2 linked regions of the Macaca mulatta genome follow. The protein of the gene in region 2 purifies or fractionates together with the protein of the main gene of each other region. This does not show direct contact. Links are inferred from orthologs where the notes say so. Each region holds a gene or a part of one and is shown on either strand. Other genes may lie near its edges.

Evidence for each region. The genes of interacting proteins can lie anywhere in the genome.
Region 1: the proteins of MAPK1 (region 2) and ERF purify together in Homo sapiens (co-immunoprecipitation; 3 studies listed by BioGRID and IntAct, with this or other methods). This does not show direct contact. The link is inferred for Macaca mulatta from reciprocal best matches to the Homo sapiens genes MAPK1 and ERF.

Annotation. Positions count from the first base shown.
Region 1 is NC_133424.1:53,307,267-53,313,421, reverse strand, and holds the start of ERF (ETS domain-containing transcription factor ERF), read left to right. Parts: upstream 1-2,729; 5' UTR 2,730-2,858; coding exon 2,859-2,880; intron 2,881-2,963; exon of another isoform or gene 2,964-3,320; intron 3,321-3,624; exon of another isoform or gene 3,625-5,779; intron 5,780-6,155. UniProt on the Homo sapiens protein: Potent transcriptional repressor that binds to the H1 element of the Ets2 promoter. May regulate other genes involved in cellular proliferation.
Region 2 is NC_133415.1:31,181,840-31,187,334, forward strand, and holds part of MAPK1 (mitogen-activated protein kinase 1), read left to right. Parts: intron 1-1,965; coding exon 1,966-2,148; intron 2,149-4,080; coding exon 4,081-4,270; intron 4,271-5,115; exon of another isoform or gene 5,116-5,495. UniProt on the Homo sapiens protein: Serine/threonine kinase which acts as an essential component of the MAP kinase signal transduction pathway. MAPK1/ERK2 and MAPK3/ERK1 are the 2 MAPKs which play an important role in the MAPK/ERK cascade.

The DNA.
Region 1 (6,155 bases), on a different chromosome or scaffold from region 2:
GTGGGAGGGTAGGGGTCACTGGGTTTGTTACTGATGTGTTATCTTTTTTTTTTTTTTTTTGAAACTGAATTTTGCTCTCATTGTCCAGGCTCCAGTGCAATGGCGCAATCTCTGCTCACTGCAACCCCTGCCTCCCGGGTTCAAGCGATTCTACCTCAGCCTCCCGAGTAGCTGGGATTACAGACATGCGCCACCACGACCGGCTAATTTTTTGTATTTTTAGTAGAGATGGGGTTTCTCCAGGTTGGTCAGGCTGGTCTCGAACTACTGACCTCAGGTGATCCACCCGCGTCAGCCTCCCAAAGTGCTGAGATTACAGGCGTGAGCCACCGCGCCTGACCTTTTTATTTATTTGTTTATTTTATTTTATTTTTATTTTTTTTCAGACGGAGTCTCGCTCTGTCGCCCAGGCTGGAGTGCAGTGGCGCGATCTCGGCTCACTGCAGGCTCCGCCTCCCGGTTTCACGCCATTCTCCTGCCTCAGCCTCCCAAGTAGAAGGGACTACAGGCGCCTGCCACCGCGCCCGGCTAATTTTCTATATTTTTAGTAGAGACGGTTTTAGGTTTCACCGTGTTAGCCATGATGGTCTCCATCTCCTGACCTTGTGATCCGACCGCCTCGGCCTCCCCAAGTTCTGGGATTACAGGCGTGAGCCACCGCGCCCAGCCTATTCATTTTTAGACGGAGTTTTGCTGTTGCCCCAGGGGGAGTGCAGTGGAGCGATCTCGGTTTACTACAGCCTCCGCCTCTTGGGTTCAAGTGATTCTCCTTCGTCAGCCTCCTGAGTAGCCGGGATTATAGCCGCGCGATCATGCTTGGGAAATTTCTGTATTTTTAGCAGAGATGGGGTTTCACCATGTTGGCCAGGCTGGTCTGGAACTCCTGACCTGAAGTCAGCCAACTCCCACCTTGGCTCCCAAAGTGCTAGGATTACCGGGCCCTGATGTAATATCTTTGAAAATCTGCCTTTTTTTTTTTTGAAGGGGGTAGTAAAAGAGGTAATAAAGCATAATGGTAAATGGTAAGTGTGGTGATTTAGAATTGGTTAGATCTGGGTTCGAATCTCAGTTCCAATACTTCCTGGCTGTAAGATTTAGTGGACTGATTTTCCCTCAGAGAGCATCACTTTATCTGTAAATGGGGATAACAACAGTAATTCCCCTCGTTGGGATTTTGTGAGGATTAAATGAGAAGATGCCCCTGACAATGCCTGGCCCAGTGCCTGGCACATCATGAACACTCGGAATTTGGGAGCTGTTATTCGAACAATGATGATGATTATTATTGCTGGACCACACCGCTCCCAGAGGGTTACAATATCCGTGGGGGAGCTGTACTGTCCGTAGGCAAGGTTACATAATTCCCCGGGGGTTGTGGGGGAAAGCTTCCCTGGAGCCCTTGGTCTCCCCAAGGAGGAGGCCTGAGATTTTTTTTTTGAGGCACCAGTGAGGAACCTGTCTAAGGCGGACTAGGTACCCCGCAAGCAAGGAGGCTGGGATTGAAGCCCTAGGTACCGGGAGCCTGAGCTCCGCAGGCCTTCCCTGTGTGTGACTTTTATGTGTCTCCCCGCCCATCTTCTGGATTTGTCCCCCACCCAGCCCCCCCAACTCCCGCCCGCCATCCATACGCCCTTCTTTGGAACCTCAGAATCTTTTTTGAGACCCTGTTTCCAGGCTATGCCTGTGAATATTGCTTCTATTTGGCCTCTACCCTGCTGCCGGCTCCTGGGCTCCATCAGATCTGCACTGTGATTTCCTGTTTCCCAGAGCCTCAGGCTTCATCCTTCCCTCCCGGCTGAGGCAGAGAACGGAGACTTAACACTTCCCTACGCTCTGGCTTTCGATCTTAAGCCCTGTCTTCCTCTCTCCTGGCGACCCTCAGTGCCCCTTGGGAGCACATTTGTTCAGACTTTGGTCGCCCCCTCGTATCCTGGCCTCGCCTCCGGAACCCCCGGTCCTAGTAGTGGAGGTGGGGGGACCTCCGGCGCCAGCCCTGTCCCCGGGACAGCTGCAGCCTGGGGACGGTGGTGGCGGGGGCTTCCAAATGCATTCTCTCTGGTCACTTCCTCCCCAGCTGGACTAGGGCTATCAGGAAGGCCAAGACCCCATCCCCACAGGAGCGGAGGGCACAGTCGCCTCCCCATTTCCGATGCTGGGAAATGCATCCCACCCATTCCACCCCACCCCTGGACAGCTGCCCCCATTCAGGCTCAGGGTTGGGGGGGCTGGGTAAAACCAAGCTGGTAATGCCGTCGTCTTGATCATCCTCTAAGGTCCTGACCCCGTCCCTCTGCAGAGAAGATTCTGCCCCCTCCCCACAAAAGTTTCTGACCCCCCGCTTCCTCGGAAGGGCCCCCCGTTTTCCCATACAGGCTCCCAAAAGAAACTCTGGAGCCCGCAGCGGGCAGAAGAGGAGGAGGGGCAGCAGGTAGCGAGTGCGGAGGACTTAAGTTATCTGCAGACTCGGAGCTTCGGACTACGGTCATGACCCGCGGGACCCCATTCCACCCCCGCCCCCTCCTTCCTCCCTCCCCCGCCGCGCGGCCCCTTTAAGCCCGGAGCCGGCCGGTCCTCAGTGGCTGCGCGCCGGCGAGCGTGTGTGTGAGTGCGCGGGGAGGGGGCGGGCGCAGTGTCTCCATGGCGACGCGGCGGTGACGTCGCCGGCCGGGGGGCGTGGGCGTCCCGGCCCCGGAGTGCGATATTAACCCGGGAGGCGGCGGCGGGGAGGGGAGAGGCTCTGAGAGGCGAGGCCGGGTGAGGCGGCAAGGGCGGCCCGACGGGCGCGGGACGGGACGGGGCAGCGCGGGCGCCGGGAGCCGCGGCCCGGAGTCGGGGCGCTTCGCCCCGGGCCCCCCAGCATGAAGACCCCGGCGGACACAGGTGGGGGCGGGGGCAGCACGTGTGGGGGAGACTTGTTGCCCCGGGAAACCGAACGGAGAAACTTTGGGGGGGCTGAAGGGGTCCGGGGGAGCCCAAGTGATCCCCAGTTCTGGGGGACCCCTCAAGCACTCGAGACCTGTTGCTTCTCGTGGCGCGAGCGGGGTTGCTGCCTGGGACCCCCGATTCCTAGCTCCGGGCGGAGTAGTGTGGGTGCTGCGGGTCTTGGTTCTGTATCCGTACCGGGACCCCGCAGGCCGGGCTCTCCCCACTCCCGGGATCACGGGGGTGGCGGGGTCCTTCCCCTCCGCTCTTGTCACGTTGCACTCTGGGGGCCGGGACGTGTGCGGGGCGGGGGGGTTCGTCCACCGGGCCCGCTATCCCTGGTTCTGCGCTGCGCGGTCCGGTTGGTGACCTTCACGGCGGCGCGTGCCCTGCACCAGGTTAGCGGGGGATACGGGATGGCCTCTAGGAGGAGGGCGTGAGTGGGGAGCCCGGGACTCGGGGTCCGGGCTGCGCCGCCCCTCCCCCGCCCGCCTCTGTCGGCTCCTCGCTCCCCCGCCCTCGCCGAGTCGCAAAGTTCCAAAGCGCAGCCCGAACGTTCGAAAAAGGAACTTTTTGTTTCCGACCTTAGAACGCGCGGCTTTAAGGTGGCTCCGGGGAGACCTGGGTACCCTCCTCCCGCGCCACCGGGGGCCCGGGGTTGAGCAGGGTGGGGAAGGTGGGGGGAGACGCAGAGACTCCCCCCTCGCCCCCCCTCCCGGATCCACCTCTTCTCTTTCAGCGGGCCGTCTCTTCCCTCCGCCCTTCTCTTCCCCGCCAACTTGCTCCTCCTTAAGGGGCCAAGGTTCCCCTCCCCCTCGGCCGGCGGGCGGGGGGCAGCGGGATTAACCCCCCTCCCACTCGGACTTTTCCCCCTCCCCTCCCCCGCCGCCCCCGGGCTCGCGCGGGCTGGACTTTGCGCCCAAGCGCGCAGGGGGAGGGGTCCCAGCCGCCCCCTGCCCGTCTACCCCGTCGGAATCCGGCCCGGGGCGGGGACGGGGGAGGGGGAAGGGGGCCGGGCGCCGCTGTTCAAACTTGTTTCCTTCCCCCGGCGGCGGCGGCGGCGGCGGCGGCTCGGGCTCCTGTGTGCGGGTGTGTGCCCCGACCGGCCCACCCACCCCACCCCATCCCCACCCTACCCCATCCCCACCCCACCCCATCCCATCCCCACCCCATTCCCACCCCATTCCCATCCCCATCCCCCTGCTCGGCGGGTGGGGGCGGCTTAATCTTAAAGGGCTCCGAGCTGGGCTCCGGCGCCTGGGGATTGGGACCCGGACCGAGGAGGGGCCCTGGGGGTGGGGCCGGGGTGCGGAGTGCGGTAGGGTCAGTCACGTGCGTCCCACACACTGCCCCGGCTTCCAGTAGCTCCCGGGCCGCTGGGCCCTGGGGGCAGCAGGAGCCTCCCCTCGCCCGAGAAGGCGGCCGAGGCGCCCAGACAACCTCGCCTCATCTTCCTTGCCTGCTACCGGCCTTGGCCTGATAGGACCTGCAGGTCGCTTCCCCAACCCTGTCTGGGGGCCGAACAGTGTGTGGGTTCTCCAGCTGGGGGAGGGGAGGGGCGGGAGGCCTGGAATGGCCTCCGATCGGTGCATCTTTCCCGTCTGCCTCCTAGCCTGCAGCTCCGCACCCCTCCATCCAATCCTCCATCCCGGCCCCTCTCTCCTCTGCCGTGGCTGTTTCCCACTTCCTGTTTTCTTCCCGGCTCTGGCGCCATAGAGGGCCGCCTGGAGTGGGGGAGGTGGTGGGGCCCCCCAGGAGGCCGGCGTGTTCTTCCTCTACCACCACTCCTCCCTTCCGACCCCCTTAAAAAAAGTTTGGGCCGTCACGTGAGGTTGGGGGGTGCCCGGGAGTTTCGTCCCCCCAGGCTTGCATAGTTTGTCGGGGAGAATCCCTACCCTACCTCTGTAGGACCCAGGTGTGCTTCTGGGACCTCGCCATCCCAGCCCTTACTGTCTGTCTGCTGCCACTTCTGCACCCTGTCTCGCAGTTTCCTGAACCCCTCTCTCCATGTGCCAGCTCTCCCTGCCTCACTGGCCCCCATGTTCCCGAGGTTCCGCACCCCCAAGCTTCCTCCATGCAGGTCTGGTGTTTCCCTGTTTTAAGCACGTGGACGCATACACAGCACACTCACACATGCTCCCCTTGCCCGTGCCTGGCTCCTGGCTCCAAGGCCTGGGGAACAGAGCCCCATTGAGACACCCTGACTTCACCCCCTCTTCATTCTCCCCACCACAGCCGGGAACAGGCCCTCATGTATGCTGTGTCCGATGAGGAAAGCCGTCGTTGGGGTGGGCCTGGGAGTGGGGATGGGTCCCTGCCAGAAGTGGGAGCCAGGGTCCAGGCCCTGGAGGAGGGGTTGCTCAGGGAAGGGGTTTAACAAGGGGGCCTGGGACAGCTCCCAGAATGCGGCTTGAGGCCTTTCCAGAGCCCCCCCACCTCCTTTCCGAGTTCCCTTTGTGTTGCGTGTAGTCTCTTTCACTCCCTCTCTTCTGCAAAGTTTATTTTTAGCCTCCTGCTCCCCCGCTCCCAGGACTGTCGCTGCACACACGTTGCCTGGTTACCGGGACACGGAGGCTGGGGCGGGTGGGCTGGGAAGGGTGGCTTTAATTTTGGGGGGAGGGTGGAAGTCAGTACATCCCCCACCCCCAGATTGATGTCTCAGGGGCTTCAGCCCCCCTTCTGGGTCTAGAGCCAAATTGGGGCTGAGGTGGAAGTAGCATGGAGCTTCCTGCCCTGAGAAGGACCGGGAGCTTTTTGGAGGGGATGTGAGGGTCCATGAAGCTGGTGGCTTGGTCACCTGGGTTCCAAAGGATCCTGGGCCTTGCAGGAGACCTTGTGATCTGGACTCTCTAGAAGGGTGAGGATAATGGGGTGAACACCTAGGTTCCCAAGAGAGCGATGGGGCTCTGGGGTCCCTGGAAGGGGTTGTCAAAGGCTGTCACTTTTAAATGGAACTGGGGCTGTTGGTACTGGTGTGTGAACAGCCGGAGGTCATATCCCTGGCACCCTGAGGGGCTGGTGGAAGGCTGGGATATATCCGAATGGGGCAGGGACTTCGGGGATTATGTGGTACTGCAGCCCAGTCTGGGCGGGAGTTGGGGGCCTGGGTCCCTGTGAGGGACAGTGAGCTCTGGATTTGGAGGGGGTGGTCCCTGTGGGAGCAGGAACTACTGATTCCCTGGGTTCCCAAGGGGAAGAATCCCTTGTTGGATTCCAGACTTGGGTGGAGTCTT
Region 2 (5,495 bases):
AAAATTAGCCGGGCGTGGTGGCAGGCTCCTGGAGGCTGAGGCAGGAGAATGGCATGAACCCAGGAGGCGGAGCTTGCAGTGAGCCGAGATCGCACCACTGCACTCCAGCCTGGGCGACAGAGCGAGGCTCCTTCCCAAAAAAGTTTTTAAAAAGCGGGGGGCAGTTATTTCGTCACTGAGTGTTGATACAGTAGAGGGACACACAGACCATAAGCTCCTCTCTCCAAAAATTTTGTTGGATTATAATTTTGCAGAGCAAATTATGGCCACATTTGACTGTTAACACTAGAACTTTATAATATTAACACTAGAAAGTTGTAATGTTGAGTTTAAACCAGTATTTTGTAACTAATCTGTCCTGTCGTTGAACTCTTGTTCTATGGGTTGAATTACCAAAATAGAATTTTTATTTCTAAAAATATTCCCAATATTGAATAAGCTTGCTTATTATATATGCTTTTTAATGCTATGTTAAATTATTATTATTATGTATGCTGTTGCCTGTCTAGTTGAAAATTACTGGCTTAGGGCCTCATGCACCAAACCAAAGCAAAATAAGATTTGAGTAGTGGTTCTTTTACTTAAGAAAATATATTATATTTCAGAGCATTTGGGGCCACCTGTGTACTGTGTGTTAATGGTGTTGTAGGATAATTGGATCCTAGTAAGACAAAGTTCCCCTCTAGAGCATTATCTTGTCATAGAATCAGATAAATATATCAATAATTCTTTGGATTAGTAGACTGATAAATATTATTATAGAAGCATAAACTTTATTTAGAGACAGAGTCTCACTCTGTTGCCCAGGCTGGAGTGCAGTGGTACAATCTTGGCTTACTGCCACCTCCATCTCCCAGGTTCAAGTGATTCTTGTGCCTCAGTCTCCCAGGTAGCTGGGATTACAGGTGTGTGCCACCATGCCTGGCTAATTTTTTTGTATTTTTAGTAGAGGCAGAGTTTCACCATGTCATCCAGGCTGGTCTCAAAACTCCTGTCCTCTAGTGATCCGCCCGCCTCAGCTTCCCAAAGTGCTGGGATTGCAGGCGTGAGCCACTGCACCCGGCCTTAGAAGCGTAAACTTTAGAATAAAGTTATTTTACTGTTTTCTGTTCTAGCACTTATCCCAAGGAAACAAGAAATGTTGTCTTATTGCCTGTCAGTGTTATTTTATTGCTTTGGTCAGTGGGCCAGATGTTGACATTTATTAGTATGAAAATTTCTTATACACAAGATTTTAATAGAATGTTTATCATAAAGATAGTAGTAATTCTCAAGATTCAAATTCATAAAATTGAAGGTATAATTTTTATTATTGCTTTTACTTAGAATTCTGGTATATTAGACATTAAGGACAACTTGGAAAGAACTGGGCCCCATGTTGCTGCCGCAGATGTGTTTTTCGAATAATACTTTCTAGGTTTTCTTATAAAACTACCCAAACATCTTGATTCAGTTTCTTGGAAGAAATGGTCATGTCATTTTGCAAGTGAGAGAAACAAAGTTGATACAAATCATCAAGGTGTTCTCTTGGGTCCATTTTTGTTAGGGATAAAGATGTACTGTTGTCGGTTATTTGAATGTCTCTTCTGTGTCAGAGGAATTTGATACAACAGTAGGAAGGTGTTTTGGAGGCAGAAGTGATTATTCTCACCAGAATGCAGTTGCCGTTTAAGACAATGGGAAAATGCTTGTTTGTGTATTTCTGGGTTTATGAAAATACACATTCACCCAGTTAACAGGTCTAGGTTCTGTCTTAGTTTTGAGAGTCGCTGTATGCTATCTCATGTCAGTTGCATCCATCCTCCCTAGCTTGAGGCCTTTTTGTGGATAATATACATGCTACCTTCACAGGTATGAAACAGGTGTTTACACAGAGTGTTAAAAATATAATACTTTGCCAGTTTGCATTCTTCAACTATTCTGAGGGCTGTTTTTAATGCCATCTGTCTTTCTCTCTCTTTTAAGCTCTGCTTATGATAATGTCAACAAAGTTCGAGTAGCTATCAAGAAAATCAGCCCCTTTGAGCACCAGACCTACTGCCAGAGAACCCTGCGGGAGATAAAAATCTTACTGCGCTTCAGACATGAGAACATCATTGGAATCAATGACATTATTCGAGCACCAACCATCGAGCAAATGAAAGATGTGTATCCTTTTTAGGCAACTAGCCAATTCCACTGCTTGGTAACTTTGTTGAGTAAATAGAACTTGAAATTTCCTAAACTTAAAGGAAAAGTGCTTTAAACATGCTAAAGGGAAAATCGTCATCTGTTTGCCATTTACTCCCTAAGTCTAGTCATGGAAAATCTTGGTTAACTCCATTTGCAGTCATGTTTTTTTCTGTCTAAGAGATGGTTTGTTGTGATGATGAAAAGGTAAAGGGAAGATCAGTAGTAGACTAAGAAAGAGGGTGCCCTGGCTATCTACTGGGTGAAATTAGGACTGTCCTGATCTTAGAATCAGGTCACCACTTTAGGTCTCAGTTTCCCCTCCTTTAAAATGAAGGAACTAGTTGTCATGATCTTTAAGGTCAACTGGGCTCTGAAATTATGTGATTAACTATGACCAACATTTAGATATCTGGACTGAATAGGTCTAGAGGATGCTGCCTGGGCAAAGACTCCATTTGAAAGATAGAGAGGTTAAGTATACTGAAGAGGATCTGCCAGAAGGGAGAGGGTTATACAGCACTCCTACCAGTTTACCCAATTTGTATTCCACCCTCCAGGGTGCGGGAGCTCGCTGTCTCTAGGCAGCCCTTTCCATTTTTAAACAGCTCTGTTAATAAGTTGTAGTGATATTTGAAGTGAAATGCCTCCTGCCACTACCACCTGTTGGTCCTACTTTACTTTTGCCATGAAAATAAGCCTCTCTCAAATGACAGATTTTAAAATCATGTTTCCTTTGAATCCCATGCTGCGCCGCCTCTAGCATAAATCTGTAAGAAACAGAGAATATTATTTACACAGAGAGAGTAAAAAAAATGCAGAAATACTGCTAATGAAATAATACTATGATGAAGTTAAAGGCTAAATGCTTTAATAATTTAATTTCTGTTAGAAAGAAAGTAGCCAGCCGGGCGCGGTGGCTCAAGCCTGTAATCCCAGCACTTTGGGAGGCCGAGGCGGGCGGATCACAAGGTCAGGAGATCGAGACCACGGTGAAACCCCGTCTCTACTAAAAATACAAAAAATTAGCCGGGCGCGGTGGCGGGCGCCTGTAGTCCCAGCTACTCAGGAGGCTGAGGCAGGAGAATGGCGTGAACCCAGGAGGCGGAGCTTACAGTGAGCCGAGATCGCGCCACTGCACTCCAGCCTGGGCAACAGCGTGAGACTCCGTCTCAAAAAAAAAAAAAAAAAAAAAAAAAAGAAAGAAAGAAAGTAGCCATAGCTGAAGTTTTAGGTAGTTAAATAAGTGACCAGGCAAGAAAGCAAGAGGAGCAAAACACGCACAAACCCCTTCTTAGCACGACTTGCCCATAGTCTTATTTAGGATCTTAACAGTTATGGGAGAGTAAGAAAATAGATAGACTTAGGGTTGGATTTACTAGTAAGGGTATGTTTCTAGACCTGTATTTCTGGAAGTTTTATGTTTGGCTTTTGAGGAACTTGGGAAAGGAGGGGAGCGGCAACAAGAAGGAAAAAGAATAGTGACATTACAGGTTACTGGACCAAACAGAGGAGGGAATATGTGCTACTTACAGGCCACCAGTATTTCCAACAAACCTTGGAGGGGGTTCGTTGATGGTGGACAATTTAGAGAACAAAGAGGTTGAGACTTGAAGATTGACCAGAATTTCTGTAACAGCCTGTTTCAGATCTCAGTCTAGGCCCATAGCTGCATCAGTCAGATGTAATGCCGTAATTCTTGCCATCTCACAGGACCGAAAAGAAGTTAACGACTTCAGGTTCCTTCCATGAAAGAAACCAAGTTTTCCTCAGGTTTTTCTTTCCTTTAAGGGCCTCATAGTGTAATAATGGACTGTTTGGGAAGAGAGTCAAGAGAGGACGCATTTTTGTTTTCAACGCTTTGCTAAATATGACCAGCTAATTGGTGTTTTACTTAACCATTGCAAACAGATATATAGTACAAGACCTCATGGAAACAGATCTTTACAAGCTCTTGAAGACACAACACCTCAGCAACGACCATATCTGCTATTTTCTTTACCAGATCCTCAGAGGGTTAAAATATATCCATTCAGCTAACGTTCTGCACCGTGACCTCAAGCCTTCCAACCTGCTGCTCAACACCACCTGTGATCTCAAGGTCAGCCAGGTTATTAACTATTAAGCTGATATATATTGAAAAACTCTTTCACTGAAGCGTAGTTATATTTGTCATTATCGTATTTTAAATGACACTAGAAATGCCCAAAAACATTTTTATGGCAAAAATGCTAGTAGAGTGATAGTCCTCTTCTTCCTTATCCCATTGCTCCTTTTTCCCCAGAGATACTTTTTTTTTTCTTTTTTTTTTTTAAGATAGAGTCTTAGTATGTTGCCCAGCCTGGTCTGAACTCCTGGGCTCAAGCAGTCCTCCTTTCTCGGCCTCCCAAAGTGCTGGGATTACATACATGGGCCACAGCACCAGGCCAAGATAACTAACTACTGTAACAAATTGGTGGCCGTTTGCAGTGGCTCACGCCTGTAATCCTAGCACCTTGGGAGGCCGAGGTGGGTGGAGCACCTGAGGTCAGGAGTTCGAGACCAGCCTGGCCAACATAGCGAAACCCCATTTCTACTAAAAATACAAAAATCAGCTGGGCATGGTGGCACGCGCCTGTAATCCCAGCTACATGGGAACTGAGGCAGGAGAACCGCTTGAACCTGGGAGGCGGAGGTTGCAGGGAGCCGAGATCACACCACTGCACACCAGCCTGAGTGACAGAGCAAAACTCCGTCCTCAAAAAACAAACAAAAAACAAATTGGTGTATTTTCTCCCAAAGTATTTTCTATGCTCTTACATACATGTGTACTTTTATACTTTATGTAGGTAAACAGGATCATGTACATTATGTATTAGTTTTAAAATCATCTGTTTCGTTGGTAACATTTTTCTTCAATACATTTTATTCAAAAGATAGCAGCGTGAAACTTAACCTCACTGACTTTAATACCTAATATGGCATTCCAACTAAATAAGAAAACCTCAAATTCTTTACAGTCCTCAGAGTTCTCCTGAAAATGTGCAGCATTTACGTATTTCTATTTTAATGGGAGTCGCAGGTAAACAAGGAGGGAAATTTATGGATATCTTAGATGTGATAGAGCGATGTCGATTCAGTCTAAAAAAATGCACAGGAATTCAAGAAGACCTAAATAAATGGGAAGATATCCCATGTCCGTGGATCATAAGACTTAATACTGTTAAGATGGCAGTATTCTCCAAATTGATCTGCAGATTTAGTGCAATCCCTATCAAAGCCCCAGCTGTTTTTTTTCTATAGAAATTGACAGGCTGATCCTAAACTTCATATGGAAATTCATATGG